2 linked regions of the Drosophila melanogaster genome follow. The protein of the gene in region 1 interacts with the protein of each later gene in a pairwise test. Each region holds a gene or a part of one and is shown in the gene's direction. Other genes may lie near its edges. The genes, in order: fest and CG13373.

What was found.
Region 2: the proteins of fest (region 1) and CG13373 interact in a two-hybrid assay, tested with the Drosophila melanogaster proteins (2 studies listed by BioGRID).

Annotation. Positions count from the first base shown.
Region 1 is NT_033778.4:19,335,145-19,353,015, forward strand, and holds fest (wurstfest), read left to right. Parts: upstream 1-6,664; 5' UTR 6,665-6,939; coding exon 6,940-7,227; intron 7,228-7,423; coding exon 7,424-7,807; intron 7,808-7,868; coding exon 7,869-8,047; intron 8,048-8,109; coding exon 8,110-8,286; intron 8,287-8,420; coding exon 8,421-8,567; intron 8,568-8,637; coding exon 8,638-8,901; intron 8,902-9,079; coding exon 9,080-9,182; 3' UTR 9,183-10,610; downstream 10,611-17,871. Other genes in the region: Rgk1 (Rad, Gem/Kir family member 1), read right to left, coding at 10,909-10,953; CG34045 (uncharacterized protein), read left to right, coding at 1-44.
Region 2 is NC_004354.4:470,557-485,515, forward strand, and holds CG13373 (uncharacterized protein), read left to right. Parts: upstream 1-6,427; 5' UTR 6,428-6,590; coding exon 6,591-6,735; exon of another isoform or gene 6,736-7,050; coding exon 7,051-7,375; exon of another isoform or gene 7,376-7,456; coding exon 7,457-7,520; 3' UTR 7,521-7,635; downstream 7,636-14,959. Other genes in the region: ebo (ellipsoid body open), read right to left, coding at 1,278-1,376, 1,570-2,005, 2,086-2,295, 2,364-2,533, 2,600-3,149, 3,208-3,644, 3,754-3,950, 4,142-4,524 and 3 more; CG32817 (uncharacterized protein), read left to right, coding at 9,088-9,389, 9,474-9,537; CG3176 (uncharacterized protein), read left to right, coding at 11,576-11,877, 11,962-12,025; CG18273 (uncharacterized protein), read right to left, coding at 12,328-12,489, 12,712-13,272, 13,328-13,690, 13,754-14,409, 14,472-14,959.

The DNA of each region.
Region 1 (17,871 bases):
TACATATTGTTTTGATTATCGTGGCACTTTGCCAGTTTCCATAGTGAATAGAAAGCTTTCAATACCTTACCAAAATGTCTTTAAAAAAAGTAGCAAGATATCGGGTAAATGCACTTTTTCAAAATATTTTCAAACTTGCAACATATGATTGCAGTTGCTTGTCCCATTGGAAAAACCCACTTCCAAAAGCATGAGTTTAACAAGGGTCCGCTTTATCCTACTATAACATCTAACTGCCCCAATTAAAGTTGCTTTTTTTTGTGATAAACTCAGATACCTTTCAACTAAGTAGGGTCTGCCGATAACCAATTACAAGGCCATTAAACGAGGCCACACCAACTAATTGCTGCGGTTCGAGGCCAATTGCAGGCGTTGACAAAGTTTTGCGTGACTGCGATCCAGGATGCAGGATACCACAACGGTAATTGCAGCGACCGCCAAGCTTTTAGGCCAACATCATTGGATCAAAGGTCGCCTTTGAGTTCCGGCATGTCCACGCGCTCAAGAACGACTATGAATTCCAGCTAATGACACTAAATGGCGACGCTAATGGCGTCTTTCTAATGGATTCGCTGACATCTTTACGTGTTGATAGTTGAAAACTCAAGTGCGATTGGCAAAATTCTAATGTAAATTCGTTTGAAGGCTGGGCCGCCAAAAATGCAGGCCAGTTAGCCTCGCGAATCGAATATAATTTTTGGATAAGCAATCAGTTCGACTGATTGTTTGTTTGCCTTGCCTCATTTGTGTTGCAACGAATAAATCTGAAAGCTTTCCTGAGTCCTTGACTTCTTGGGTACACATTTCTGAATTTGTGTTTGCCGAGCTTCACGCATTAAAGTACCCATGTGTAAAACGCCCGCCCGTTTTCAGTTTCCAGTTAACAGTTTCGTTTGACACGCTTTTGGCGCTGGCTAAAAGCAAACAACAAACAAACAAACAAACAGCTGCGACAACAACAAGCACAACGGCCAAGTTTACCCGCCCCCACTGACAAGTGCGAAGTGGGTGGTTCCGCCCCTTTCGCATTTCCGGTTTAACTCCCTTCCGGCCAGACAGCAAAAAATCGAAACTCAATCCCGAAGTGGACATGTGCTCTGCAAAATTGAATGACACGCCGGTTTCCTACACATTTTTTTTCTCCCACGAACAAGCCATCACTAAAATAATTCAATTTGAATTTTAATATGTTTTAATTTTGGATGGAGTGGTGACCATACCTTGCCATACATATAGATGTATCGTTAATATTAAAAACCGTCAAAGATAATAAAAGTTTTTAATAACAAAAAATTGAGTAAATTAAATTTTAAATTTAAAATTTCTTTCCATAGAAATAAAATACACAAGAAGAAGTTGGCACCTTTAAAAGGTACATGAGTTAAACACAACATATAGTATTTATTTAAACTTGCGCTTGTATTTCTTAAAACATGAAAGATAAAACAACTTTCTTCATTAAAAGAAGGCAAGTTGCAGGTCGCAAAATGTGGAACGTTCCCTAATTAAAACGTTTTTGGTCTCATCAAGTTATACAAACAATTATTTGTAATTTTTCGTAAATTAAGAGGGCGGCAGGAATGCAAACATCAAAGTGGAATGGGGCTACTTAAGAGATGCCACCATTTCGGAGCAGGAAGTAATTTTTACTCGACAAATATTGACTTGATCCCAATAAGAAGACAGCGCTGAGAAATAACTTGAAAGCATTCCGCCTCCATCGAGCTGAGGTGATCCGATCCCAGTGAGGTGTGGGTGGCGCAAATGGCCGATGGAGGATGAAGATGTGCACTTGGCGGTGGCCACCGCAACGGACCGTAAACAACGGAGACACACGAAAATGGGCAGCGGTTGTGGTTCATTTTTTTCCCCATTCGTATTCGCAGTTATCCGGCCCCCACAGAGAGCTACGGGAATTTTACCTCACAGGCTGCACTGCGAGAAATTAGCTATCGCAATGTGAAATTTCTGAATTAAGTTAAGAAACAAAATGGTCAATTCATTTGTATATATTGTCAAGTAAACTAATAATAAATAATATTATTATCGCAATAGAAAGGACATCTTCCATTAAAATTAAAAATTGACTGCATAAAAAAATTAAGATCAAGATGAAAGGAACACTTGTTATAAATATTTATTGCTCCGACTGCATCAGAAGCCATTCAAATAAAACAAAGAACATAATTATAGGCAGAAAATAAAAATCACTTTCACTTCGTTTATTTGTTTCGCTTCGTGTAAACTGCAAAAAGGTGTGCTCGCTGCAGAAATTGTAAATTCACTCGCCACGAAATGAGGACGCCACGGAATGTTGACAGTTCTCGGGAGGATGGCCATAGTGATGGGTTCTTGCTGCGACGCGATGGAAATGGTAATGCCAATGGGAATGGGAATGGGAATGGTTCCACATTTCTGAGTCAGCGGGTTGTCTGCGCTAGATGTTCAGCTTTTGGGGCTGGGGAATTGCAAATAGTTCAGTCCGATTGTGATTATTCGACGCTCGGTCTGGTTATGGCCAATTGGCAGTCAACAATGGCTGGGTGTCCCGATGATTCCATCAGTACCAACCAGTGCGTTGAACCCGTCCGTCTGGACGGCGTGTCTGGGCGATTCTTTTGCCGCTCCGGGAATTGGAAATAAAATAATGGCACAAAGCGAGCGAAATGCGTGCCCCGGAAACTATGGAACCCATTCTCTCTCTGCTCTGCAATTGCCAATGCATTTGTAATTGTCTCTGGGTGCGGATACCTTGTCCGATCCGGGGTATATTGTTCTATTAAACGGACAGTTTATTCCACTCGAATGCGAGTCATACATATACATATATCCGCTTCTATAGACACGGCTCATCAAATAAAGCTCTGAGGATGTGTTATAAAATTATACAATTCATTTTGACAAAATTCCCCAAATTAATATGCACCAAAAACAACAGAAAAAAAATATAATATATATGAAGGCGGAACAGGCAGAAGTGAAAGCCACTTGATTTATACCTTCTCGGGATTCTTGAAGCAAGGTGGACCCCAAAAAGAAAAGAAAACAGAAGAAAGTAGAACAGTTTCGGGAAAGTGGGCGTGGCACCTGCCAAGAGGCACGTCCGCGTTTCCCTGGCTCTTTGCACAATTCTTATGTATAAATTTGTACAGTGGCTTTCGATGTGGGTTACCAATGAATAAAATATGAGGAATATTCTAGGGGCTGTGCCAAGTTCGTGCGGTTTTCTTTGATAAATGAAAATTTAAGTAAAGTAATTAAAATTAAATAAATAAAGTTGCGGTTGCTGGCGGTGCGGTTTTATGACTCTTTACTAAATGACATGAATTGAATTTTAAACTTACCAATGGCCTTAAAAGTGGAAACTATCTTTTCCTATAAACGTTATTCATTTAAACATCCCACTTAAGTTTTAATGACTATATTTTATCGACAAAAGCCGACTTTGCTGCCTACTACTTGACAAAATCCAATTAAATTGATAAAAACTAATTAAAGTGTGTTGCAAAAATCACGTGCATGGCTTATGTATTTCCCATAACTTGTTGACATAATATTTCTTAAAAAGTAGAAATAAAAAAATTAAAATTTTGATGTGTGAAGGATGTTCAAAACAAAAAAAAAGAATGGATTGCCATGCCTGAGCCAACTTATCTTGTGCATTCGTTGGCGAGGCTCTTTGTAAATTTTGTAAAAATAATTGCTTCGCTCACCGATCTTTACAGAAATGATTATTGATGAACACTTTGGCCTATTTTATCAAAATCAAAGCAGACGCGACAACGTCACATTTGCCCATCAATGAAGCGTGAAATTCAGACCGACAACGCGGGCAAAGCGCCAGCACACATTAAATCTTGCAAAAGTTTAACCCAAGCCAAAAAAAAAAAAAATGGGGAAAAAACCGCCTGGCACACCTTTTCGATGAACTATAAGACCATAGACCATAGACCATAGACACGAGCGTATGAGATGGGTGGATTTTTTGGCAAGTGCCGAAGAGCCGATGACGTCAAACGGCGGCAGTTGGCCGTTGGCAGTCGGCAGACTTTTGGCTCAGACCACCAATTGACCAACCTTTCAATCTGTTTTCATATAATTTTTTATTTTTTTGTTTTTTTGGGCACGCGTAGGTGGTGGCTTCTTCGTCTCCAGGAAATCCCTGTGAATCACCTTGCAGGGGGCCGAGGTGGGGGCACGGGACTTAAGGGGATTGTGTAAACAGAAAAGTCACCAAGGAATTCGACGCGGCCAGAATAATGCCGGGAATGCCAAAATATTGATGGAAGTCAAGCCGAGAGGCTTTTAGCGTCGCGTGCCTGTCGGTTGAGATCCGTAAATGTATGTGCATCGGATTCGGAATATCTGTATATATATATATATATATATATATATATATATATATAGTGGGTGAGTGTAATTCCATAGCTGACAGCGGGGCGGCATTATCATCTAGAGGCGACAACAAAGATCTCCCGCTGAATGACCAGACACATTTATTTGTTTACACAGCTCGGTTGCCGTTGCCTCATCTTGACAATCAATTAATTTCCATCCCGTCCCATCCCAACCGATTCCAACCCAGTCCATTCAATTCCCGAGCACCTCCTGCCCCCCAGTAGAAACTGAAGGGGCTGGTATTGTCGACAAAGGCAAGTGGCGTCGTTGGCGCTAATTGTTTTTAATGAAAATTGCTAAGGATTTAATAAGGAAGAAGGCGCTGAACAAATGGATTTTAAAAGCCATTTCAATTATGCCATAAGTTTCTCATCAATCTGAGTGGTCACCACTACCACTGGCACTGCCACTCACGCGAACGGTGACGTCAAAGATTGCAACACTGGCCAAGTCGGAGTCCTATGCACTTTCTATATATAGCCGCTACACTAGTATGGATTTTATGATCTTTGTCTGCGCCAAAGTTCACTGACTGCAGAAGGCGAAAATAGTTTTCCACATTTTAACGAGCTTCGGCAAGTAATAGCGAATTTTCTCTATTCATTTGGCTGATGTTCTCCTTTTAGTTTTCATATCAAATGTGCCTTTGCCTTTACAAAACGAGCGTAATTACAACTTGAATTCAAAATTTAGCAAACTATTCCAACGACGCTCGCTGAAAATCTGAATTTTCAGCTGTCTGAATATTTGCGAATATTTTTAACGATAAATACTGAAAAAGGAGGTTAACCAATTTGTTTCACTTGCGGCTGGCGAAAGTGACAACGGAAAAATCACTTCGGTGGACGGGGTGATTTTTACAAATGAGTTTCCGTATTTCATTGAATGCATATGCGATTGCATTCCTGCTATAAATATATTACACATTTTCACTTTCAGTTGGTGTTGCTCAAAACTGAGTCAATGCGATGCGTGGGCGGAATTGCAGCTGCAGTGGCTGAATTTTAATGATCCGACCAAGTGCCAAAAATAAAATTTAAAAAATATGCCAGCCAAGTGTCTAAATAAACGCGTCCATTTAAATAGATATGATGGCGAAAGTGTCAATCTAAATCTGCGTGGGCCGATGGCCAAATGCAAGGAGTCAATGCGCTCATTAAACAAACTAATCCGCGCAAGAAAAAACTGAAATCAAGAGGCAAAATCAATCATGAGAGCGGAAAGAGTTGACAGTCGTATACAAAAAACACAATAGTTCCGGAAGTTCAGGGACTTTGCACACTGAAGGTGAGTTAGTGAACCCACAAAAATGGAAATAAAACGACCTTGGGGGTTTGCCAAAATTGTGGCTAATATGTCAACATTCAGGCAAATAAAATGGCTAATAACTGACAAGAAAAACGATTGAGCAGCTATTACTAAAATATATTATGATTTTAGTGTTTATTCATTAAGAAATAATCCAAAAATTTGTAGCTGTTCGACTGGAAAGTTCTATAAGAGCAGTTTACATTTCGCAGAAACTTTAAATGCCAGTTCTTATTTAATATGTCAATTTAAAAGTTTCAGTTGAATGTATAATACATTTAAATTGCGTGATTGTTTGACTTTGACAACATATTTAAGCCACGTTAAAGCAACAATTTAGAAGGGGATAGCTTTTTATTAGCAAAGTACTAAACTGTGCTACGTGCAAACATCACTTTTATCTGACTCTTGACATTTCCTGCCAACGCTTCAAAACTTTGCAACTCTGCGCACTTGTTCAGCATTTAACCAGCATCGATAAGAATGACGGCACTTTCTCTTGCACTTTCTCCCGTTCGGAAAATGCAGTTTCCCAATAAATCTTAAAGCCTAAGTCTTTTGCTGCAGCTTATAGCTGCGTAGAAACTATACAAATGAGCGGCAATAAATTGCTGGAAGCTGCACTGCTGTGCGTGTGTTCAAGTCTATTTCTCGATTCAATTACGAAGGCGAAACTTCGTTTTCCGGCCACTAAAAGCGAGGAGATGGGTTGCACTACAGTGTCGTCCTTAAATGCGTTATTTTGAATTCAATCAGCTTTTTGCCGTCTAAAAGTATGCAGCACTAATCGGATATACGTTGAACTTTCACGGGAAATCTAAAAGTGCCAGGGCTTCAAAGGGACGAAGGGAAAAGTAAAGTATCGTGTACTCGATATTACGACACTTTCAACTATCGAAAAACCCGGTAGGCCAGTGAGTGTCAGAATTGATGGCACATCCTTCCATCGGCACTTGAGGCAAGTCATTCTTTCGAAAATTGTCGCAGCGAGCAGTGCTCTTGAAAAGTCATAAAAAGTAAAAAATTAAATTCCTCTCATTGAGTCGTTGTGTTCCGTGTCGAGCAGAGTACTTTGATTTTCGCTGTCCAGCACGCCGCGTGTGCCGTTCTCGTTTAGATCCACATACCAAAGTCCAGGCCCCGTTTCAACCAAGAACAACAACACCATCATCCATCACCCATTCGATTCCATACGGTTTTCCCATAAATTTTGAACAATCGAATCTTGACAAAATGGTTACCGACGCCCAGGACACCGTTGCACCTAAGACCAGCAGCACCAAGGAGGTGCAGTGCCAGCACTCCGGCGCCCTGGATGAGCCCCATGTCGAGGAGCTGGCTCTACCGGGCCCCGCCCCCTTGGCCACGCCCAAGAGCGGCCGCGTTGGCATCTTCAATGCCGAGGACTTCTTGTCCCGCGCCCAGTTGAACGACAAGATCAATAACATCTTGCGCTCGCCCACCAAGGCTCCAAATGGTGTGCGCCAGCGTTCCGTATTCACCAACAACAACCCATCGCCGGTGAGTAGAGTTGTCACTTCTCCATAGGATTGCCTTCATTTTGAAGGCATATGCAAAAAATCGTCTCTTTGATTTTTGCAAGTCATTTTTGCAAGTCATATTTTCTTAGCATTTTTTGCAAGTCATCTTTTCTTCCCATTTTTTGCAAGTGATCTTTGATGTACCATGTGATACCTTTTCCCTTACCAATCCCTAGCAAGCCACCATGCGCTTTGTGTCATCGATGAACAGCCCATTGGCTCCACGTATGAGCAGCCTTTCGCTGACTGGCGGAGTGAAGCGCGGCTTGGAGCGCGGCAACAGCAGCAGCAGCATGGGCAACAGCGCCAGCGTGGGCACCAGCACCTCCGTCCTGGCCAAGGAGTGCTCCAGCCAGACAAACAGCTGCGGCCGCAGCTACATGAATATGGGCATGCACGCATCTTCCCACTCGGGCTTCGGAGTCCTGCCGCAATCTGGTGCCGGCTACGAGACCATGGGCTGGAACATGGATGCCGGCAATATTACGCGCAGCGGCAAGAGTCTAACGGGACGCTTCAACTCTGGCTATGGCTATGAGGTGGATGGAGCCTACTGCATGGTAAGTGCTTTGATTTATTGCCCCGTGTTTCGTATTTTAGAAATATGCGATATCTACCTAGCCACAGGCACATCACACCCAGCAGTTCCCATCGCCAATGCCACCACCACCTTTTGCTATGGATCGCGTCAGCTCGCGCACTTTTGAGTTCGAGAACAACACACCACCACCGTGTCCAGGATCTGGACCGATTGCCATGTCCAATGGCACCATCCAGTTGCGCCTGCGCGAGGGCGTTCGGTAAGTGAACGTGGTAGGAGATTTATCCCTTGATCATCATTCCAAATCATTCCCGATTCCAGCATTGACATGACCCTGGACAAGGCTGTCCGTGTGCTGAATCAGCGCAGCATGGTTGCCGCCGCCTTATCGCGCAACTGCAGCAACTCTGCCCTCATCCATCCCAATGGGCGCATCTTGCAGAGCGGCTCCAAGGTGGAGATCGTCACCTACGACGGAATGAAGGCCAACAACTTTGTGTAAGCTTAGAAGTAGAATCGAACCTTTACTTTAAGAGTGGCAAACAACTAGTATTTTGGAATTTAAACTTGTACTTCTCATTAGATTTTCGTATAAAATCTATGCAACTATAGCTGCAATCATTTTCTTCCAGTCGCTATGCCAAAATGTGGTACAAGGGCGTTAGCTTCACCAGCGAGTCCTGTGCCCTCATCTATCTGGTGGACACAGCTGGCACTCGCACCACCACCGATACCTTCACCGACCTGACCAAGGACTACACCTTGGCGGTGTTCTATGAGTGAGTTAAGCACGAAATTTGCCCAAATCAATTCGCCAAGCTCCTCTTTCCAATTAACAACACCCTCCAGCGATTCGCGCCACGGCCCATCCTTTGTGTCCGATGCCCACGACGTAATCGCCAACTCCACCTACAATTGCGCCGAGGACGGCACCGAGGTGTATGACATCAATGGATTCCGCATCACCCAGGCGGCCGACGGCCTGGTCAAGGTCAGCCGCCAGCACAGCAAGTGCCTGATTCGCACCAGTCCGGGCAATGGATCCGCCACCCTGACCACCACCGGCATCCACTGCACGGCTTCGTTGGGCAAGACCTCGCACCTGTTCGTCCGGTGAGTTGGCCACTGCATCCACACCTATTTGCAATAATGATGCACTCGAAGAATGCATTGTTCTCGTCGTATATTTATTCGATTATAACACTGATAGTGTTTAATTGATTCCATACTTTTGCAGTAATTCAGTTAATCGGATATTTGAAGATTCCTTTTGTTCTTTTTTTTTTTGCAGTCGTAATGAGAAGCGCATGCACTTCGACGGATCCTGTTTCATTGTACGCAATGCTGGTCACTCGGCTGGATTCAATGAAAACAACCTGCTCATTGTCTACTAAGTACCGCTCGCACCATGGGATGTGCATCGCGTTGGGTGGCCATCCAAATGCCACCTATAGCCACCCAGCGTGGGCAATCGAAAATCACCCCATTATACCACCACCACACACACATCACAGAAAACACACACACGCAAACCGACTCAAGCGTCGATATAGTGACCCCCCCAAAAAAAAAAATCAAAAAATCCAAACAAAACAACATTGGAAAACTGGGGCCTCGGCGTGGAGAGGGATCAGATCATTTAAGAAAACCTGGTCTTCTAAACAAAAAAAATTATAAATGTATAACTGCATTTAAGATGAAACAGCTCGAAAAAATGCGCGAGCAACGAAAACTGGCGATCCTGATCCTTGAAGGATTGCTTTTCGATTGCTCGACGTAGGCGCAACGCAAACACTAGGGAATTAGTTTTAGATAATCACACTTACAATCTCTCTAGCCCTCGATATCCTTGTTTTTATACGCATACCGTTATTTAGTACAGGCAATTCAGGTGGAATAGGCTCTGGAAAATCCACCTGTTGCCTGAAACGCTGGCCAAGACAATGCTATTTCGATCAGGGCCAGCGTTTGGTGTTATAAAAAGAATGAACTTGGTTCGCGTTTCGCTTCTTTTCGGCCCTCACAGTATAGCAAAATTAAGTTTCCAACGATTTTTTAAACGTTCGACACGTACTTGAAATGCAACAAATTCAGCAAGATTGAAAATCGAAAGTTGCAAAATTTCCACAAAAAAAAAAAAATAAGCAAAAATTGATAAAATCGCTGATATCAAAATTAGCCTCTGCATGATAAAAAATTAGCTAACAAACGACGGCTGCTTTGGCCAACGTAACACCAGTGACAATTCAGTTAGTTCTAAGTTACCAGTTAAGATTAGTTAAGTTACTACAATCCAACCATGTTCATCCTCACACAACACACACACACTCTACAGCGCAAACGTTGCGTAAAATGTAAAATGAGTGGACTTAGTGCTTAAATTTCCAAGTGTAGACGGAATAGTACCACTACCACACTCGTGGAATACAGATACACGCACACATGCACAAGCACACACACACACACACACACACGACAGGCCAAAGTGAGAAATTGTGACTGAAATGGAATACAATTAATTAGCTTACGAAACAAACGCTTATCTGAAAAAGGCAGTCGTCTTTGAAAACAAAGTTAAAACACGTGCACACTTTTAAACACCATTCCTTAAAAAAAAAAAAGTGAAACGCCTTGCAATTATACCTGTGTAGCCTTACAACAACAATCTTCAAAACTCTAAATTTAATCCTCATGTATATCGAAATTTATGTGCACAAAAATCGATGTCAAAAAGTAATACATGAAAGTCCTGAATAAAGTAAATTCTATCTGCGCTACTGTAATAGATTCGTATAATTTTGTTAATTCTCATGGGTTAAATCTGGATCGAGATACAATTTTCAGCGGCTCCTGGCAACCATATATGACCTCATACCTTTCCTCTGGCATTGTAAAAGTACAAGAAAATTGCTTAACGACTACAATTCACATTACAACCCTGTTGGAGGAGTTGTGGCACCTGAAGGGCCATCAGGACTTGAAATCTTTTCGGGCTTAAAGAGTTTGCGAGCTATGTAAATATTTAAAGGAATGAATTGCACGTTTAAAAGTAATTGAATGTTTGCCAAAAAAGGTTTTCATATACAAATATTATAAAAGATGAGAGGTCTTCATGTTTACCTGCAAACAAATCCAAAAGCACAACGATATGGGATCGGCAGTCATGCAGACCAAGCTCTCCAACAGACTTAACCTGGAGTTGGAGCCGGAGGAGCGGCCCGTTGGCAGTGGCTGTTGATAGAGATTAGTGGATAATGCTGGGGCGGAACTATATGCCACGGCTGACTCTGTCATAGGAAGAAAGTGGTTCCATGGTTAGCGGGTACACAGAGAGAAATGGCGGGTGAGCGTAAGCGAGGCGGTGAGCATGGGCAGGTGCGGAAGCCACAAGGCAAGGATACTCAAGCGGCGGTGATGGTGAGTGTCTCCAGCTCAGGCGGATACAAACATCTAAAAATGCGTTTACTCTAGTGCTGCGTATTAAATAAAGTCGCTAACCGAACCCAGCAACCCGAACCCGGCTGAATCCTGAATCCGAGGTTATGTGGCTCAGCAGCTAGGGAGCCATAAAGGGCGAGACCCACACACACACATATGGCATATTCAATGCTCACGCTTGCGTGACTTGGTCGGAAAAATCCGTTGGATGGGAACGGGGGGCGTATACGGTGCCATTTGCCTCTCGCACCCGTGCTCAACATCAAACGCTTTTCACACTTAATTGGGCGTAAAATTAAATCAGAATTGATTAAAACACTTGAATGACAGCAGCAGTCGAAGCCAGAGCTCCGGTGCTATATGGTCCCGAATTTGAGAACCCGGCCAAAAAGTCTAAGCATAAACAAACTTTTTGGTTCCCATTTTTCCAGCTGACGCATGGCACGTAGCATCTCATCTGACCGAGTTTTCCACCCAAAACCCCAAACTCAAGCCCAAGCCACCCCCACCCCACTCCTCACCACCCATCGACATCCTCTCAAAAAGGACTAATTGCTGCCTAGAAACTCCTCTCTTCTTCCGCCTTTTGCCTTTAGAAAGTTTATCAAATTCAATTTCCGACAAAAGTTGGAATGGGCTGGATAGGCAAGACATCAATTTTTATATTTTACCATTTAATGGGCTCTTCAATTATGCGAGTCTCGCTCCACCGGTATTACGTTCACATTAATACAAATTCAATGAGGCTTAATTCCTGGCCATAAATCGTCGCATGGATTCGTTTCACCTGTCTTCTTCTGTGGTCATGCAGCAAATCAATTCGATTTCCGTCGAAATGAAAGAGCCATCGCATTGCAACACTGCAACTGCCGACGATAATTGCATTTTAACCGATTTACCCAGGAAAATCCCAAAACTGAACAGACGGCAGACAGTAAAGGATACACCCATTCGTACTGCGTGAAAATTCAGCTTCGTTTAATTTAATGGGAAACGAATGGCCCACGGGGGGTAAATGAAAAATTATGAATATTTACCCCTGCGGATAAGAGGCTTAAATTCAACCGGCAAGATAAACGCAAAATACATACGAATTTGAGTAACTCCATCTGTCATGGTGAGCACTTCATCCGAATCTCTATGTTCGGATGCGTAAGCCTGAGGTGACAGCAATCAAATCAATCAGACCAGCCACCTGAGCTGAGCGGGAGTTCAAAGTGAGTGGTCCCCAATGGATGTTTTCTCCTTGGCGGAGCTGTTAGCCCCCAAAAACCCATAAACGCAACATGGCATTGGCGAAAGGGTGATTGTGAACGACATGTTTCAAGTATATATCGTATATCAATGACAAAAATGCTGCTTGCCAATATCATGACACAATTCATAAATTATTCATGAATAGAATTCATTCGAAGGTAGATTGGGGCACTCTAAAACGTCTGCTTCATCAGAAGTAATTAAACTAATTAAGAAAGTAGCGAAATTCATAGCAAGCCTACGTTAAGTACAGTTAATCCCTTTTTTCTTTTCTTTTCTATTAAAGAGTTAGGAATATAGATTAAAATTGTAAAATTCTTACGAATTCGATTACCCGTGTGTAAATATTTTCTAACTGTGCGGCAATAACAATTGAAATGTAACAACAGGCGAGCGTCAACATTATTATAATGGCGTTTAATTAAGCCGCTGAGTAAATCCCCTCTCAACACTCTAATTTGAATTGGCAGGCCGGAAAGTCAAACAAAAGCCCCCGCCGAAGGCCAAATATTTCGGCCTAATCCACTTGGCCCGGTCCGAAATAAGGGCTTTATAAATTGGCAAAAGAATGGAACGGTGATGATGGCCGATGTTCTCCAATAACGAAAGTTTCGGCCAGCTGAAATGCAGGCATGGTAAATTTTCCAATATTTTCACATTGCAATCTGTGGTCTTACGTGTCTATTTTTTTTTTTGGTTTTGGCCAGAAATGATCTGATTTTGGCCATGGCAAATTTGGCACATGCTACCTATCATCAGCATCGTCGTCATTTGATTTTGGGTGAAAAAGGTTCGCGGTATAATATGGTGGCTATATTTGCAAGGACAAGGCAATTCTAATTAACCCGCTGCCTTTGCCAGAATTGCAATGCGTGAAATCGCTTTAAATGCAAACCCTAAATCTCATTAAAATTCCTCAGCATGTTGTCGTTGCCATCCAGCTCAAGTGTCTCCCATTTTCTTGCCGGGTTTTGTCTGAGATTCTGCAGCAGATTCCGTCTGCGACTTTACCATTTTCCCAACCACATTCAACAGCCAATGGCAGTTATTTTCAACGACGGTTTAATTAAGTCTAATGGTAAAATGTTGTTACGCAATTATGTCGGTGTCGTTGTTTTCGGAAATGTCCTTTAAATTCGGGTCCACTCACGTGCTGACCCTGTTCCATTCGACCCTGGGTAAACCAATTTGCGGCCCACATAGGGTGAAGTAAGTGGAAATCGAATTACCAATAACGAGACTGCCACAATAATTTCAGTTAACACCTGACCGAAACGCCAGTTGATAATGGAGCCTACTGTCATATCCTTTTACCAATGCTCCAGCGAATTTCATAAATGTAAAGCTCGACCATTTTTAGACTTCATTAAAATGGGTATTTGCATTTGACAATAAGTTTGAATGTACATATTTCTAATACCAAACCAATTTAAATATTAATATTATCACACATCATATATATAACAATTCAAGCTTGCGGTGCACTTTTGGGGAATTATGCGGTGTCAGGTGTAACATACAAAATACTTCGGCAATGGCGGCTTCAGTCTAGCTTTTGTTACCTCCCCCAGATATGGCTAAGGATTCTCTGCGGCATATCTGCGGTTGAGCCATTGAGTACTTACATGATGGGCGAGGCCATTGATGTGGCTACCGTCTGCTGCAGATCCTTTTACCGAAGATCCTGTTGATGCAGCGGCTCTTTGGCCCGCTTCACTTGACTTTAGGGCAGCGAGCGCGGAGTTAGGCGAAGATTCTTGGCAATAGCTGCTGCACCTGCCACCGGCGCCTCTCTCCGCGATGTGGGCGTGGGCGTGGCCGTGGGCGTTGCTGTGGGTGCTGGCAAGGGGCAGGGGAGAGGCCGGCGGGGTGGGTTGTTGTGGAAGAGAGGGGCCCGTTCTGTTGCGTAAACGGGCCAAAGCACTCCGTAGACCCTCCGTATTGTCTTTGTCGGGCCCCCGTCCAAGCGAAATGCATCCGCAGATCAGTCCACCAGCCGCCTACAATTCAGTGCCAGCTCCTAGTTGCACCTCTGCTCCACGCCCTGATTGGTCCTTGGCCAATCAATTAGATTGCACTTTAATCTGAGGACTTTAGGCGCCTTGCTGCACAGTTTGCAATTGCAAGCCGCAAGGTTTACAAGTTTCGAAGTTGTCGTCGCTCCGAGGAAATTACTAAATCTTATTTGTAGTTGAATTGTGTAGTGTGTGGTCGAGATATATTGTTTTTTAAATCGAATTTAAACGCTGCGATAGCGCGGCTTGTAAACTGAAGTCCAAAGATACTGCAAGTATACAAAACAAAATATATTTTATATTAAAAGTGGTTTCAGTTCAAATTTGTATGACCCTTTAAAGCGAAGCATGTTTGCAAGAGAGACCAATTAAAACTGTATGATCCGAGTTGCTGCTAAAAAAAAAAAATATTAGAAAAAAATCCCAGCTATTCAACTGTACGAAGTCGTGCTCCTTTTTTCGCAGGAGTCATGTTTTCCGGAATGCCCCCAATTTACACTGCAGTAGAAACTTGCCTCGGGCCACTTTTACTTGGGGTAACAAAAGACCGTCGAGACTGGTTGATGATGCGCCCGAGGTGGGAAAAGTGAAACATAATTTCCGACACACAATTAAAAGCCAGGTCCTTTGGGCCCCCGACGGAATTTCATATTCATATTCCGTCCACAGGCGACGGAGCCCACTTGTATGTTTTTGGCCCTGTTGCTGGCTTTGCCATTTTGCCATTTTGCTATTTTGCCATTTTTGTTGTGCATGCGAGATTCCAAGAATCCAAGGCTGCTAGGGTGGGCATGTGTCACCGGGAAAAGTGAAAAACAGCTTTGGCGGGTCAACAGCAGGAGCGATGAAAAGCCGAAGCGAAGTCGGAATGCCCTTGGTTTAGTTCATAACGAAAGCAAAGAGTTAAAATGATGTTTGGCTCTAATTCCATAGCCATGATCTAAAATTCGTTCAAATCAGCCATAAATAATATTCTGCAAATTGGAAGTTTTCTTCAAACATGGAAATGCACACGAGCAGCAAAAGCCGAATTATGGCACATGTACTGTGCTATTGGGCATTCACACAATTGAGTGATTTCAGTGGAAAATCGAAAGCCGTGAATTGGAATATGAGTTTCCTCTTGCTCGGCCACATACGAAAATTCTGAATACACAATCCTTTCATCCAGCGGCACAGATTTTTCCGGGAAAAATGCTGGAACATTTAACATGCTAGATAGATAAAGTTAGGTTTTGCCTAATACCCTTAATTTTATATGTGTTTTTGGGACTGGCAGACAATAAATTTCGTTTCGTAAGGACAACCGTTAGTCATTCAAAACAAATGTAAATTTACCGAAACAATAAACGAGAATTGCGCACCGGGGACTTTGCGGTTGCTCTGCAGACATCATTGAAGCCTTTAAGACCAACGGCTTATTGCAAAGTCCTTGAACTACAATTTGGCTGGCACAGTTAAGAGGTCGGCCACGCCCCCCTGTCCGCCCCACGGGTAAACAGGTGTACGGGTATGCAAATGTCCCAAGTCATTAAAATGTTGCCTCAGATAATAGTGATTTATGGCGGGTGCAAAACGAGAAACATCAGCAGAGCAATTCCTATGACAGACTCGAGATTCAGGACACTCGTGACTGAAGACTCCAGGATGTGCACGGAAATGCGATGGAAGACCAAACGAATGTTTTGGTCAACAGGAGGGCCAATAAACAGGACCATAAAGGCAGCGCTTTTTTGACTTTCGAGGGGCAGGGTCCAATGAACAAGGGAAAAACCATTGTAAACGAAATCATTTTCTGGGTAATACAAGAAACTTTTTTGCAATCTCATCGTTTTGGTTGTGCGCCTGTATGGGTGATGAGTGTGTGCCTTTGGGCTCGCTTCGAAAGCAATTTAGTCGCCAGTGGCAGCCAGCAATTATTTTCTCATATTACGTATACGCAACGCGTGCCCAATGCGCTGTTAGCAGATTTATTCTTCCATTATGAGGCAAACAATTTTCTATTACACTGCTGACTTTTGTTATTAAAAGCGAAAGAAAGAAGCGGCCAACGGAAATAACGCAAAAGTCAAAGCTGACACAAATTCTTCTCCCCTGCATTATTTACATAATTTTTATCACAAAAAAAAAATTATATAAATACAAAAACGCTGGCATGAATTGACAACGAAATTCTCATTAAAAACAGGGGGACTAGGCGGAAAATTAACTTTGCACTCGCTACAGGCGACTGACTACCAAGTGGTCATCGAAAAAATGTCCCAAAATGAGTAAGTGAATATAAATAGAGTAGACATTTGCATTTCCATTGAGTTTGTGCCTGGCGGGAATGTCTTTGTACTATTATTGCTACTTCAGTGATATTGGGCATGTGTGTGTACATTCACTACGTAATTGGTTTCCAACGTTCACACATCATCACTCATACGCACTGTGGCCGCTGGCAGCGCAGACAGGTAAATCACCATAACAATAATCATAATCATCATGAGCACATATACCAGTAATAAAATTTCGCATTTTCACAGATTTTTCCCGCTTCAATAGGATTGATTATATCCGTTCGATTTTGATTGATGTGTGCTTCCGTGCGCTAACATATATACATATATATAGATTATGCCAGCGGCGATATAACTAATTTACAATGCAGAGAAACAATAATATAAAGAGTCGCTTCATCGACTCGATATTACAGGCGCATCGCAGGTGCTTTTTCAGGGAAAAAATTGAAATGCTAAAATTGAAATAAATAAATTCCCGATCGAAAAAAGATTAATCACTTATCAACCGTGCAATCGAATATAATTGCATTATTTGTTAAAGAACTTCAGATGATCAATTTCCATTAACCGAAAATGACTTAAATTATTTTCTGATTGGTTTATCGTTTTTCTGTTCAATTGACAATGCGCTGAATTAAAATAATAGGGGCTTAAAACATCATTTTGGCTAGCTTATACATTTTGAAATAAGGCAACAAAAAAGTGTGTGAGCTGTGGTATTTAATATAGTTTGGAATGTAGCTTTCATGTGGCCTGTTGGCTCTGTAATAGCTACTTAATTAACTAGATGTAGGCCAACTTTTGTGCGATGGCGAAGTAACTTTATTTGCTCGACGAGAGGGTCACAAAGCTCAAGGGATAACGGCCAGGACACAATTGATGAGCCGATAACAACGGTCTTCTGGATGTATCCCCTGGACGCCCATACCGCCACAAGTCAAAGTCCCACTCACTCAACATCAAAAACATTCGTAAAGGCGTGCCTTTGTTTGTACGATTTCCAGTCGAATGATTAGGCCAACACATCAGCAGCAGATATAGTCAGCTCATCGCCAATGCCCACATACTCAAACAATCGATACGGGGGA
Region 2 (14,959 bases), on another chromosome or scaffold:
CATTTATTGAAACCACAGTTACAAAAACTGTAAGCGACACCGAAAACACACTACGAAAACCTCTAACAATGGTTTTTAACTAATTTCGCCGTTTTATCACTAATCGTAGTCCAACCGAATGTAGGCCTCCAATATCAAACTGCACTCACCAAATTGACCGGAATAACTGAAATCACAGAGTGTAGTCAAAATAAAGTTACATTTCAGGCAACTTTAGAACAAAGTAACGGGATTAAAAGCTCGAACAGTCGATAGTTGATGTAGTGGAAAAGGAAAGGGAACAAAAGAGAGATGAAAGATAACTGTTTCATAATTCGATCTCTTTTATATACATACATGTCTACCTATGTATGCATAGTATGAAAAGAGAGCAAAATTTGCATTTGCTCCTATAAAGCCACGTGCCACCCATCGTTTTATAACTGATTATACTAACTAGACTTTAATAAATGTCATGCTAATCAAATACATATCTAATTGCGAACAACTGGCGAATAAAATGGTAAAAATAGTTTTATTGGACTTTTGATTGCAGGACTTAAGCAATTATACATACATACATACATTCATACATAGTTCAAATCATTACAACGGACTTTAAACGCCTTGAATTTACTTTTGGTTGGTGGTGGTGTTAGGTTTTCCCGAAATAAATTACATACATAATTTCGTACCTGGGTTTTTCGGCCCTTCCAGCTATTTTCTTACTTGATACTTTATACTTGCTTACAACGTAACTGATTTACATGTTGAGATATGCTAATTAATTTATGGATATAAATGTATATGCTACTAAGATATATGTAGGTATGTATATGTAGTATGACTTTTATCGAGTTGCGGTGACAGCACAGAAAGCAGAGTAATCGTATATTCGTTACGTGGTAGACATAAAACTAAAGATAATAATGCACTTAAATCTATGTACGAAGCTTGTTTTAAGTTAACATTTAATGTCTTTTTCAATCGGGACGAATGCTGAGCTTTCTAAACAGAAATACAACATCGCACAAGGAAGAACCAAACGCAATCTGGTGGGATGGTGTTAGAACATAGGGCTTTGGGGACACGGCCCACAAGACAAAGGACCTGAAGTAGATGACAGACAGTATCGGGAAATATGGCATGCAAAATGCGACAGCATATTACATTTAAAAGTTACAAAAATAAAACAATATAGTACTTTATATACATGCAAGAACCTAATCGTATGCGGCCGTGGTTTACGGAACAAGGATGGGGAGCTGTTAAAGTCCCGCGCTTGAGGGAAGGAAGGCCTACGCCGTCTCATTGAGGTGCACGCAGTGGGCGTCCTGCATGAGCTGCGTGAGTTTCTGCGTAAACGTTGGAATGTCCTGAACAATAAAAGGTAGTACCTATTAAACGCAAAGTCAGTCATGGAAGAGTCACCACCACTTGCAATTTTGTGTTTATATTGATTGAAACAATTGAAACAAGTCGACATGGACAGTAAGATTGTAACAGAATGCTTAAATCATAAATGGAAGACAGTTTCTTTTTTTGCCTTGCAAGTGGTGTCGATCCCTTTATATTCAGTATTTGACTCACATTTGTCTGGCAGATCTCCTCCAGCGACGTCTGAGCCACTGGCAAAGAGGCGTGAACGAAGCTCTCGAGCAACTGGCGTCGGTCCACCTGGCCCATAGCATACAACGCCTGGGCAATCATGTCGAAGTGGAGGGAGCCCTCTCCACTCAACAGCAGATTGAGCAAGGCCCGCTGAAATGAAGCCAGCAGTTGCTCCTTGAACAAGGCGCGTTGGTACAACCGACTCCTCTCATTCACATTTTGCATTGAGAAGAGAACGCTGCGCACATTGCTCGGATCAGTCCCACTGACCAGCATCTGGCCATACGCATTCAGGATGGCCATGAAGTGTGCTGGATGCAGGTTGTCGCTGCAGTTGAAGTTGCCGGAGCCACCACCGCTGTGACCATTGGAGAGCTGATTTTTGTAGAAGAACTGCCACTTGCAGGTGAGGACACTAAAATGGAGAAAGGGCGTTAATTCATGACGACACAAGACACAAGTACAATTTATTTTAATTTATGCAGCATCACGCACCTATCAAACAAAGCGTACAACAGGCTAGTGATCTCGCTGTTATCGGTTGCCGCATTTTGCTGCTGCAACAAGGGCAGAATCTGCTGAGTGCTAAAATCTAAAATGGAGGGAAGCAGCCCCAAGGAGGCGCTCCCTGGCTGCTCCACGATCAACTTGAACATCTGCAGTATTTTTTCCATCACAGCCAGTCGGCTCAGAGTCAGTTGCTCCCTGGAGACAGAAAGAGATGGCATCATTAGTAAGCACTCACACTGTAAAGAAAGAGATGGGAGACCCACCTACTGCTGACACTTATGAACAAGGTGATCATTTCCTTAATGAACTGGGCCCCCAAATGGGTGGGCAATGTTCGGAGCATGCTCAGGCTAAACTCGGCCACCGTGATGGCCATGGCGATGCTGCTTTGCCCAAAGTTGTTAAAAATCATTAGGGCCTTTGTTAAAATAGGCTGGAAAACAAAAAACGTTAATAGATTAGGATAGGATGTTTAAATTTACTTAAAAAAATAAGGCACCTTGAAAGTGCTTGCCAGCATATCCTTGGCATTGCCTCCAGTAGCTTTAAAATACTCAATGAGAGCAGTGAAAGTACCCAGCAAACTGAGCGTGGTGGCCGCCACCTTGCTCTCGTTGGCCTGGCCTAAGTCCAGATCCAGAAAGTTCTGTGCCAGCCCCTGGACATATTCACGCAGCATCCAGAGACGCCTCGGATACTCCTGCTGCTGCTCCGGAACGCTTTTCCACGGCAGCACCATGTAGCTGACCAGACTGATGTGTACATTGATGCACACCTGACGCGGCAATTGGGCGCCCAAGCGAGAGCCTGCCTGCAGCAGGCTTTGGATTTGTGGTATATCCAGCAGGCACTTGGGCCGTATCACAGTCGATATGAAAAGCAGCAGCTCGCTTGCCGCCTGCTGCACAATGGGGGAGGCAGCCGTTAAGGATCCATTGCATGCGAAAATGCTGCCCAGGATAGCAAACAGGCGGTGCAGCAGTTCCTCGCCGCTCATGGCTTTCGTTAGCGGAAAGATGCTCCTCATGGCCAGTAGAACTTGAGCGTATCTGAAGGATCAAGAAAGCATAGTATCACATACATCATGCAAAGGGATGCCCCACTTACAGGTTGTCCAAATCAGTCTGGAAAGTAGCTTTGTCCATTTCGCTGCCGCCGCTATACAAACGATTGCTTGCGAGGAGCTGTAGAGTCTGCAGCAAACTGTCGGACAGCATCTGCAGCTGGCACTCCATCTCATCAGCAACCCCGGGTGCTGCTGTTGATGAGTCCATCAATGGGGCCAAACGCACGACCGCCTGGCAGACGGTGGCAAAGTCGCGCAAAATCTCGCCCACATTGGCGCCCTTCAGTTTACGTGCCGCTTCGTAGCTTCGAGCGCTTCCGTGGTCCAATGCGTGCTCCAAGGACAGTAAATACATCTGTGGCCGTGACCAGTGGTTATAGACCTGTGCGAAAACGATGTGTGCACCTCTGGTGTTGGCCAGTAGGGCCAGGGACTCGAAGCATTGGTCTAGAAACTGCTGCCACTCAGTGGCGGAGGTCTGAAATTGGATGAATGTCTAGATAAAATGAAGATCGTTCTAATGCAAGGTCTATTTCTTGGTTTTTGAAATTTGTCACCTAAAAACACTTTAAATCAGAGCTACTTACATCGTCCTCCATGAGCTCGTTGTCCAGCACTTCTAGCTCGGGTTTGTTGGCCTCAAACTGAGTGCGCCTCATAATCTCATCTACTAGCTGGGTAAGCACATTGTTATAACGCGTGATTTTGGCGGGGTGCTGGGCAATGCCTTTGATGATGGGTGTCCAGATCTCAAGCTTTTCGGTGAAGTCCAAGGCGCCGTGTACTGTTTGGGGAATACAAAATTAATAACTTTTGTTATATATCTTTGTCAACGACATTTCGAAATCTCGATCACGAGATGCACATAACCCATTTAATATTGCGAGTGTTTTATGACTACACAGCAAAAAGATCATCTCAAAATAAAAAATAAGTTAGCATCTCAAAAGGCAATATTTTTATCACGCGACTCACATTCAGTGGTGCAGCTGTATAGCAGATTGAGAAAGGTCTCCAGCAGGTCTGGCTCCTGCATCAGCTTGGCGGCATACTTGGTGGTGTAGAGGCGCAGCAGCTCCCGAAACTTGTCGCTGTACATCTCGCTCTGCCGCCGATTGTTATTGTGCTGCTCCAGGAGGCTGGTAACGCCGCCCATCAAGGGTCCTGGGAAGGGCAGTGGCTTCTGGAGGTAGAGGAGCTCATTCAACACAGAGAGAGCCGCCAAGGAGATGGGCTCATGGGCTGGTCGCCACTGGGAAAGGTCAAGTATGCTCATAAGGAAGTACTCCGAGATCAGTTCAGTGCGTATCCAGGAGACCAAGTGCTGCACACATCCTAGCAGGTCCAAAATTGAGGAACTGCGGAGTATATAGAGAGATGTTATAACAAAATGTTGTAATGAACATATGCTCTTTTGAATGTTATGATGACCCACCTTAATTGATTGTCATTTGGCAGCGCTGAGGTTAGACTAAAGTCCATGAGGGTGTTTGGTATGGTTGTTTGGATGTCTTTGCCATTGATGTGGCATACAGCGATTAGCAGATACTTGGTTACCAGGTCCAGAACATCGGGTACACACATGGAGATGCTACAGAAACACACGGCAAAAGGGAGCACAAAATGGGTTAGGAACAGTGCTGTGGCAACTGACCAGTAATTATAGTGCTTTCTCTCAACAAAGCAATATAATATGATAACTGGGTTAACGGTTCAATTAGTTGAGTTTTAAGAGGTCAGCTGACTTTAGTTGTTATGCCATATACATACTCAATCTCAATATAACACTTATTAATAAACCAAAAACAAGAACGGACTGACAAGGTCTGGGATTGTGTTATTCTATGTTGTGCGACGCAATCGTGTATTTAAACAAATAACACCAAAGTTAATAATAAAAATACGCTATGCTCGAAAACATCGACCATCTGATACGCCGTACTCAGTTAAAAATCCAAGTAGTCTTAAACAGACATTAAAAGTATGGGACTACAAAACCTTTTTTAAAAAACATACGATTTTAGCCTCTTCGCTCTATTTACCCACCAGGAGTAGAAGTACTGCTTCCATTCGGTGGTCAGGTCGCCCCTGTTGCTTACCACCTCCTCGGAGGTGATCTTAAGCAGGTTGATGCCAAGTTGAAACCGTGTTTTTGTCAGTTCCATGCAGTGTTGCATGTAATTGGGGTCCTGTTCAGGGAACTCCCTCTTTCCGAGTAGGGCTATCAACTGGGCCAGTGTGTCCCTGTGCCGTTTGGCCACATTTGGAGTGGCTACCAGTTGGGCATACGAGTTCCAAAGGGTCTCCCGCAGCAAAGTCTTGTCCGTGGACGTCAACTGTGTCCATCTCCGCGTGATTGTGTGCTCCAAGGTTGAGGTGCTGAAGAACCAGAGGAACTGATTCTCCGTGGTGTCGGAAGAGGTGGCCACACGGAGGCAAAGTTGCCACGCCTCTGGCTGGGACTTGAAGGCCAAGAGGTTTGTCTCGATCTCTCGTTTCCGGGCATTGGAGGTGCTGGGCTGATAAAACTCCTGCAGCAGTCCCTCCACCGTCGTCAAAGATGCGGCGTGCTGCACAGACAGTGGGTGGGTGGAAACCAATTCCCGGTTAGGTGGAATCACTCTGAATCACTGGCAAAATAGTGCGTTTGGCCCGGAGCCCCCCGCCTCACCATTTTCCGTGTCCTTTACGATCCTTCCGAGTATCTGTGATCTGGATGTTACGGTCACTGTGAGCTCCGCTTGCTCGCGGTTCTAATTCCGATCGCATCAGCAGTCGGCGTCCATTAATTGCATGGTTTTCTTTGTGTCTTTACACAAAAGGTGGCCAAAATCTACTCCGGGAAAGTGAACAAATTCCGCACGGCTGGCAACCCTGGCCGATAGTCAATAAATATCGATAGTTGTTGGTTATGGGTATTTTGAAATAAAAAAATTCTACCTTTCTTATTTTAATTACCTAAAACAAAATTTTTTTTAAATAAAATTGGCTATATAAATGTTTCAGCTAAAACTACGAGCGAGCAGACAAGCATCCAATTCAAATCCATAGTTATACAAATATATATATATATATATATATATATATATTATACAAATGTAATAAATTTTATATTTTCAGTCATTTTAATCTGATAAATTAAAAATGCTGGACTATTCCAAACAGCTCATAACCAGAAACATTTTGAATTTTCCGCCTAACCGCAAATTCGATCGATAGACGATAAAAAAATTGATCGCAGTCGGCGCTTTTGTATGTATTTTTTAATATGGTAGCACTATTCTAATAAGGCAATATTGTTAGCAAAACGGGACACTGATTAACTGTTAGCCTGCAAGTTAGGAAACCTGAAAGTAAAGGATTTTCAATTGATATTTCAAGACGTTCCTATCCGATCTGCCCAACAATCTGCCAGTATCTCATCATGGAAAACCAGGTCCGTAAAAAGGCGGCAAAACGATCGCGATCAGCGGATGGCGACGCCAACAACAATCTCACGCAGCGGAAGGTATTTGTGAACCAGAAAATGTGCGACTCCCGTGATCCTCGGAAGATGAAGGAGGTCCATGGTATGTAAATTGCCTTATTCGCACCAACTTATCTTGTTTCGATCCTGTAATGGAGGGGTGGGAGATTGGAGAGATAGCGCCGCTCAGAGCGCAGTTATCCCGGACTTGTTGCTCACTTCAGTTTGAACAGTTAGACGCGAGAACAAAAAATTGAGCAAAGCAGCGACCTCTAATTTACGATGAATTTACGCATAAATTTTTTTTTTTAATTTTTTTCTTGCTGTTCTTTTGCACGTCCCATCGAAGCTGAGTGTCTAACCCTCCTTTAAGTGTCTAACTCAACTGGAACTCTCCGATTTTCTATTTCTTTCGCAGAGAAGACAATCAAAATGCTTTTCGATGGCGCAGCCGGCAATAGGCAGGGTCAGGGCCAGAATGCCCTGAAGCCATTGGTACAAGGCCAGGAGGAGCCCGCCCTATGCGAGCAGTACTATCTGCTTGGCGATGGTTCCATCGTTCTGCGCAACCTTCGCACCGACTTGTCCAATCCGCGCCTGGAGAGAGTGAAATCGCGCTGCTGCCAGCGCCAAACGCTCATCCACGACATATGCGTCAACTGCGTGATGGATCTCTGCGAGGAGTGTGGCTACTCCTGCGGCGAGTGCTCCAGGTTCATTTGCCGCAGCTGCGTGACTTTATTGTGAGTTAAGTCCTTAAAAGAAGCATCCCCCTTGGGAACACCTTTTATTTGAAAATCAATCGACCATCATCTTATTTCCAGTGGTAATCGAGTTGAAGAAGAGAAGGATCCCCTGTGCGAGCACTGCCAGATGTTCTTCAGCTAAGGCTTTACACAATCCAGCACTTATAAAGTCGCGGTGCTTGTTAAATTTTAAGTTCTGAAGCAGTACAAATTTGGGACGACACAATGTCAAATGTATTACCAACCAGCTCCGTTTCACTTATGTCCTGTAACTGCTTTCTTTCCGGCCGATAGCCTGGATGAGATCCTGGCACAGGAGACTGGGCTGGGCTGCTCGGTCTGACATCAGGTTACTGTGTTCTTTTAACAGCACAATCAGGTTGTCTGTGAGTGCATTATACAGATCCACAAATAGCTGCCAACTGCCGCCGTGGCTGATCAAGTACTTGATGTCTACATCCAACATGCTGCCAAGAAGGCAATCCAGGGACTCTCCTGTGAGAGGGACCGTACGATTCCCGGCCAGATTGCGCTGGGCCTCTAGGAGTCATAGGGCATGACCAGAATATGCCAAGTCTTTGGGTTCCGGTTGAAATGGTCATTAAGGATCTAAAGAGAACATTATTAACTAGGGAAGGAGAATAAGGTACTGGGGAAGACTCACCGCTCCCTTCACGCTGCTCAACGAGCATTTGGCAAAGAGCCAAAAGAGTTAGCACATTCTGGAGCGCCGTGTGCTGCGTTTGCGACGCAGGGCGTGCCATTTGCTCCTCTTGTGAGGAAAGACGGCGCAGGAGCAGTAGGAAATCCTCGTTAGTCTTAAAGACAATGATCAGATATGTCGGAAGCATTCATCTATCCCTAGTTCGTCTAGGCATGGAGTTTTTAAGGTCAGATGCAGCCCCACAAAAGGACGAACAGTTTGCGAATTGTACTCTTCTTACAGCTTTTCAGGCCCCTGAGAGCGTCGAATCTTAGTCCGATCCTTATTATCCTTGCGAAATTCAACGCGCCAAGCATTCGAATAGAAGCTTGGTGCTGGACCGCAGGGCATCCTGGAGTAGCTCAGAGCTGAGACCATGGGCAGACAATCTTGAACAGAAATGGCCGACCCCCGCAGACCACGAAAGATGAAGAGGGTCCTTGGTATGGAAAGCATTGTCCCACTTGCACCAACTCACCTACTCTCCTTCCTGTAATGGAGCGGGTGGGAGATCGGAGAGACAGCGCCGCTCAGAGTGCAGTTATGTCGGGCTTGTTGTTGCTCAATGCAAAGATGAGTTCAGTTTAAACCGTTAAACACGAGAACAAAAAATGGAGCAAAGCAGCGACCACAAATTTACGAGGATAACCCCACGAAGAGATTGGCAATAAACTGCTACAGTGTTCAGAAATTCGCAATTGCAAGTAAGAATCGATTGGAAACTAATCGATTTTGTGATTTACTGATTTTGGCATTTTGAATAGGGTCAAGTCAGCTTGTTTCCCGCGATCGGTCTCACTATTTTACTGTCATTGCAATTTGGAAATTTTAAGGGTTCTGATTGCACTTCTCGCTGACCTCAAACAAATCAAGTAAATATTCTTTTTTTTTTGCTGTTATATGTCACGTTCCATCGAAGCTGATGGAAGAGCGGCGTCCTTGAGGTGTCTAACCCTGAACTGGAAATCTCCGTTTTGCTATTTATTTTGCAGAGAAGACAATCAAAATGCTTTTCGATGGCGCAACCGGCAATGGGCACGGTCAGGGCCAGAATACCCTGAATCCATTGGGGCCAGGCCAGGAGGAGCCCGCCCTATGCGAGCAGTACTATCTGCTGGGCGATGGTTCCATCATTCTGCGCAACCATTCCATCGACTTGTCGAATCCGCCCCTGAAATCGCGCTGCTGCCAGCTCCCAACACTCATCCACGACATATGCGTCAACTGCGTGATGGATCTCTGCGAGGAGTGTGGCTACTCCTGCGGCGAGTGCGCCAAGTTTATTTGCCGCAACTGCGTGACTTTATTGTGAGTTAAGTCCCAGAAGGAAGAAGCATCCCCCTAGGGAAACCCGTTAGTTTAAAAATCAATCGACCATCATCTTATTTCCAGTGGTAATCGAATTGAAGAAGAGGAGGCTCCGCTGTGCGAGCACTGCCAGATGTTCCTCAGCTAGGGCATCAAACAATCAAGCAAATGTCAAATGTATTACGTTTTAAAGAATATAGAGCTATATAGTATTTAACATTAAGCAAAAATCTTTGATCTATTCTTTGGAATGCTAGAAAACTTAAATCATGACCTTGAGTTGGCCAATGGCGTTTCCTTAACGTAAAACACACCTTTTCGAACAGCGTCGTGGGCCTTTCGGTTGCTACCATTTGGCGAATGGTGAAGATAAGCAGGAAGGGTGCGACTTTTCACGGCCAGTGCCTGCGTGGCGCGCACTGTGGCCATTACAGTGGCCAGTTTCAGACCCAAGTCCGCCAAACCATCCACCTCCGTTTCACTTATGTCCTGTGTCAGCTTTCTTTCCGCGCGATAGCTAATGATGGCCTGGATTAGATCCTGCCACAGGACACTGAGCTAGGCTGATCGGGGTGACATCAGGTTACTGTGTTGTGCTGTTACAATCAGGTTGTCTGTGCTGCCAACTGCCGCCGTGGCTGATCAAGTGCTTGATGTCTACATCCAACATGCTGCCAAAAAGGCAATCCAGGGACTCTCCTGTGAGAGGGACCGTACGATTCCCAGCCAGATTGCGCTGGGCCTCTAGGAGTCATAGGGCATGACCAGAATATGCCAAGTCTTTGGGTTCCGGTTGAAATGGTCATTAAGCATCTAAAGAGAACATTATGGAACGAGAATAAGGTACTGGGGAAGACTCACCGCTCCCTTCACGCTGCTCAACGAGCATTTGGCAAAGAGAGCCAAAAGGGTTAGCACATTTTGGAGCGCCATGTGCTGCGTTTGCGACGCAGGGCGTGCCACTTACTCCACTTGTGAGGAGAGACGGCGCAGGAGCAGTAGGAAATCCTCGTTAGTCTTATAGCCAAGGATCAGCTTAATGGCCGGCTCCAGACAATCCAGTGCTGAACTGGCAAATGTGTCGCCCACCTCAATGTCTGTATTCAATTGCCTCCAATAGCTGCTTAGCACGAACTCTATCTCATCCGGATCCAAATGCAAACGTTGACGATGGGTGAGCGCCACATTCAGCAAGCGTGTCGCATTAGCATCGCGATAGTTCAACTAAAAATATAGCAACATTGTTGTTTGGTTTGTTCAATACTTATAAACACGAAAAGCACCCACCGAGTGACAAGAGGACGAACAGTTTTCGAATTGTTCTCTTCTAACAGCTTTTCAGGCTCCTGAGAGCGGCGAACCATCTCTGCCAGCTGCTTGATCACAGAACCTACAAACTCTGCATCCCAGTAGTCTTGGCTCTTAGTCCGATCCTTGTTATCCTTGCGAAGTTCAACGCACTCCTGATAGCATCTGATCAGGCTGCCATAGCATTCGAATAGAAGCTTGTTGCTGGACCGCAGGGCATCCTGGAGCAGCTCAGAGCTGAGAACCATGGGCAGACAATCTTGAACAGAAATGGGCGACCCCCGCGGACCACGAAAGATGAAGAGGGTCCTTGGTATGTAAAGCATTGTCCCACTTGCACCAACTCACCTACTCCTACTTCCTGTAATGGAGCGGGTGGTAGATCGGAGAGGAAGCGCCGCTCAGAGTGCAGTTATGTCGGGCTTGTTGTTGCTCAATGCAAAGATGAGTTCAGTTTAAACCGTTAAACACGAGAACAAAAAATGGAGCAAAGCAGCGACCACAAATTTACGGGGATAACCCCACGAAGAGATTGGCAATAAACTGCTACAGTGTTCAGAAATTCGCAATTGCAAGTAAGAATCGATTGGCAAATTAATCGATTTTGTGATTTACTGATTTTGGCATTTTGAATGGGGTCAAGTCAGCTTGTTTCCCGCGATCGGTCTCACTATTTTACTGTCATTGCAATTTGGAAATTTTAAGGGTTCTGATTGCACTTCTCGCTGACCTCAAACAAATCAAGTAAATATTCTTTTTTTTTTGCTGTTATATGTCACGTTCCATCGAAGCTGATGGAAGAGCGGCGTCCTTGAGGTGTCTAACCCTGAACTGGAAATCTCCGTTTTGCTATTTATTTTGCAGAGAAGACAATCAAAATGCTTTTCGATGGCGAAACCGGCAATGGGCAAGGTCAGGGCCAGAATACCCTGAATCCATTGGGGCCAGGCCAGGAGGAGCCCGCCCTATGCGAGCAGTACTATCTGCTGGGCGATGGTTCCATCATTCTGCGCAACCATTCCATCGACTTGTCGAATCCGCCCCTGAAATCGCGCTGCTGCCAGCTCCCAACACTCATCCACGACATATGCGTCAACTGCGTGATGGATCTCTGCGAGGAGTGTGGCTACTCCTGCGGCGAGTGCGCCAAGTTTATTTGCCGCAACTGCGTGACTTTATTGTGAGTTAAGTCCCAGAAGGAAGAAGCATCCCCCTAGGGAAACCCGTTAGTTTAAAAATCAATCGACCATCATCTTATTTCCAGTGGTAATCGAATTGAAGAAGAGGAGGATCCGCTGTGCGAGCACTGCCAGATGTTCCTCAGCTAGGGCATCAAACAATCAAGCAAATGTCAAATGTATTACGTTTTAAAGAATATAGAGCTATATAGTATTTAACATTAGGCAAAAATCTTTGATCTATTCTTCGTTAGCGCTGTGCGAGTACTGCCAGATGTTCGGCTTCACACAAACAAGCACTCAGCAAGGTCACAGTGCTTGTTAAATTTTAAGTTCTGAAGCAGTACAAATTTTGGACAACTCAATCATTTTTATATTTCTATATTTAAAGAGTTGGTATTTCATATAAATATAAAAAAAAATTTACAGGTGTACTCGTTCCTTGTCTCTACCTACACCTTGCCCCTAAATTTGTGGTACTTCTCGTGATCCTTCACCAATCCTTCGTACATCCTGGCGCCGGCCTCATTGCTGGAGCGTAGGATGAAGTGTCCGGCACGGTGATCGCAAATACCGATCAGTTCATGGCACACGCGCACTATGTGGACCTTGATCTGGGGAAAATCGTATTATTAGTCAAAGTAAGCCCACTATAAAAATATATATACTACGTGGACGCATAGAATAAAAAAATGGCAATTATTACTCCTTAAAGAATATAGAACCATATACTTCTTAACACGAAACAAAAATCGTTGATCTATTCTTCGGAATGCTGCGAAACTTGAATTTTGACTTCGACTTGGCCAATGGCGTTCCCTTAACGTAAAACACACCTTTTCGAACAGCGTCGTGGGCCTTTCGGTTGCTACCATTTGGCGAATGGTGAAGATAAGCAGGAAGGGTGCGACTCTCTTCACGGCCAGTGCCTGCGTGGCGCGCACTGTGGCCATTACAGTAGCCAGTTTCAGACCCAAGTCCGCCAAACCATCCAGCTCCGTTTCACTTATGTCCTGTGTCTGCTTTCTTTCCGCCCGATAGCCAACGACGGCCTGGATGAGATCCTGGCAAAGGACACTGAGCTGGGCTGCTCGGTCTGACATCAGGTTACTGTGTTGTTTTAACAGCACAATCAGGTTGTCTGTGAGTGCACTATACAGATCCACAAATTGTTGCCAACTGCCGCCGTGGCTGATCAAGTGCTTGATGTCTATATCCAACATGCTGCTAAGAAGGCAATCCAGGGACTCTCCTGTGAGAGGGACCGTACGATTCCCAGCCAGATTGCGCTGGGCCTCCAGGAGTCGAAGGGCATGACCAGAATATGCCAAGTCTTTGGGTTCCGGTAGACGCAGTGCAACACTCACACTGATCACCTCGAAATGCTCATTAAGCATCTAAAGAGAACATTATTAACTATGGAACGAGGACAAGGTGCTGGAGAAGACTCACCGCTCCCTTCACGCTGCTCAACGAGCATTTGGCAAAGAGAGCCAAAAGGGTTAGCACATTCTGGAGCGCCGTGTGCTCCGTTTGCGACGCAGGGCGTGCCATTTGCTCCACTTGTGAGGAAAGACGGTGCAGGAGCAGTAGGAAATCCTCGTTAGTCTTATAGCCAATGATCAGCTTAATGGCCGGCTCCAGACAATCCAGTGCTGAACTGGAAAATGTGTCGCCCACCTCAATGTCTGTATTCAATTGCCTCCAATAGCTGCTTAGCACGAACTCTATCTCATCCGGATCCAAATGCAAACGTTGACGATGGGTGAGCGCCACATTCAGCAAGCGTGTCGCATTAGCATCGCGATAGTTCAACTAAAAATATAGCAATATTGTTGTTTGGTTTGTTCAATACTTATAAACACGAAAAGCACCCACCGAGTGACCAATGTATATCTTACAGATACGTCGAAAGTTTTCATCTATGAGTTTCGGCTGCCTCTGCTTTCCATTGTCCTCCAACTCCTGAATCTTCGCTGTCTCTGGATCCCTATTTTTCTTCTTGTGGTCTACTTTTGGCTCAGCCTTCGTTTTTTCTGAACTCTCCGACTCATTTCTCTTCTTCTGCTCTTCCCGCTCCCACCTGACTACGCTATTTATGCAATTGCTCACGTAAGTTGCATAACCTGATAGCGTGCTATCCACGAACTCCTTATAAGCAGACGCCTCCTTTTTCTTGGAGCGAAACTTGTGAGTCACCATTTCGCCATAGATCTGAATAAGTGGCTGTAGCTGGCCTTGCAATCGCCTGCCCTGAGCTCCAGTTACACTGCTAAGTGTTTCGATGGCCAGCAGCAAAAGACGACGCTCTTCCGCTGGCAATTTGTTTAACGCAGCCAGTTGATCCTTAAAAAAGCCCGTGCAACTTGCAAGAAATGCTTCACTACCGGCACCCTGTCGGCGAATGCAACGTGCAAAAAGTGTTTCGTAGAAGCTCCAACCCACCGTCGAGCTGGTGGGGATAAGGCAAAGCAGTTCGCTTAGCCGCGGGAAGTAGCTGCATATGGGAAGCGGATGGCCGAAATGCATAAGATCTGCAAGCAAGTAGTTTATCCAACAAATGAGTTTGAAGTATAAATTCGATTAAATTATTTACCTATTAGTAGCTCCAGAATCTGATTGGCGTTCTCCTCCTGATGGCTAAGACTGAGATCCCTGTATAGAACAAAGATCACCAGCCAAAGGCGCGATCGAATGTTACGGGGCAACTGAGCCAATGGAAGGCCCTGCAGAGTCTTGACCAGTACCTGGGCTGGGGGCAAATGCAAGTCAATTTCCACCGACGCGTTATCCCTTAGGAATTGTGTCAGCGAGTTCTCCTCCACCTGCTCTTCCAGTTTCAGTTTCACCAATAGTGACCCCTTGGCCTTCGCTTCTTTGGCCTCTGCTCCATATTCCTTAAGCAGCTGCAATGTAAGGATCTCAATGCTCTCCGAATCATTTAGATGGGGTTCCAAGCTTTGATTATGTTTCCTTTGATGCAAACGGAGCTGCTTCTGTGGTCTGGAAAGCCGAAAGAGTTGATACGGTGGGACTAACTCAGCCAGGGCATCCGAACAATTGGCTCCCCTTTGATCCTTCAGC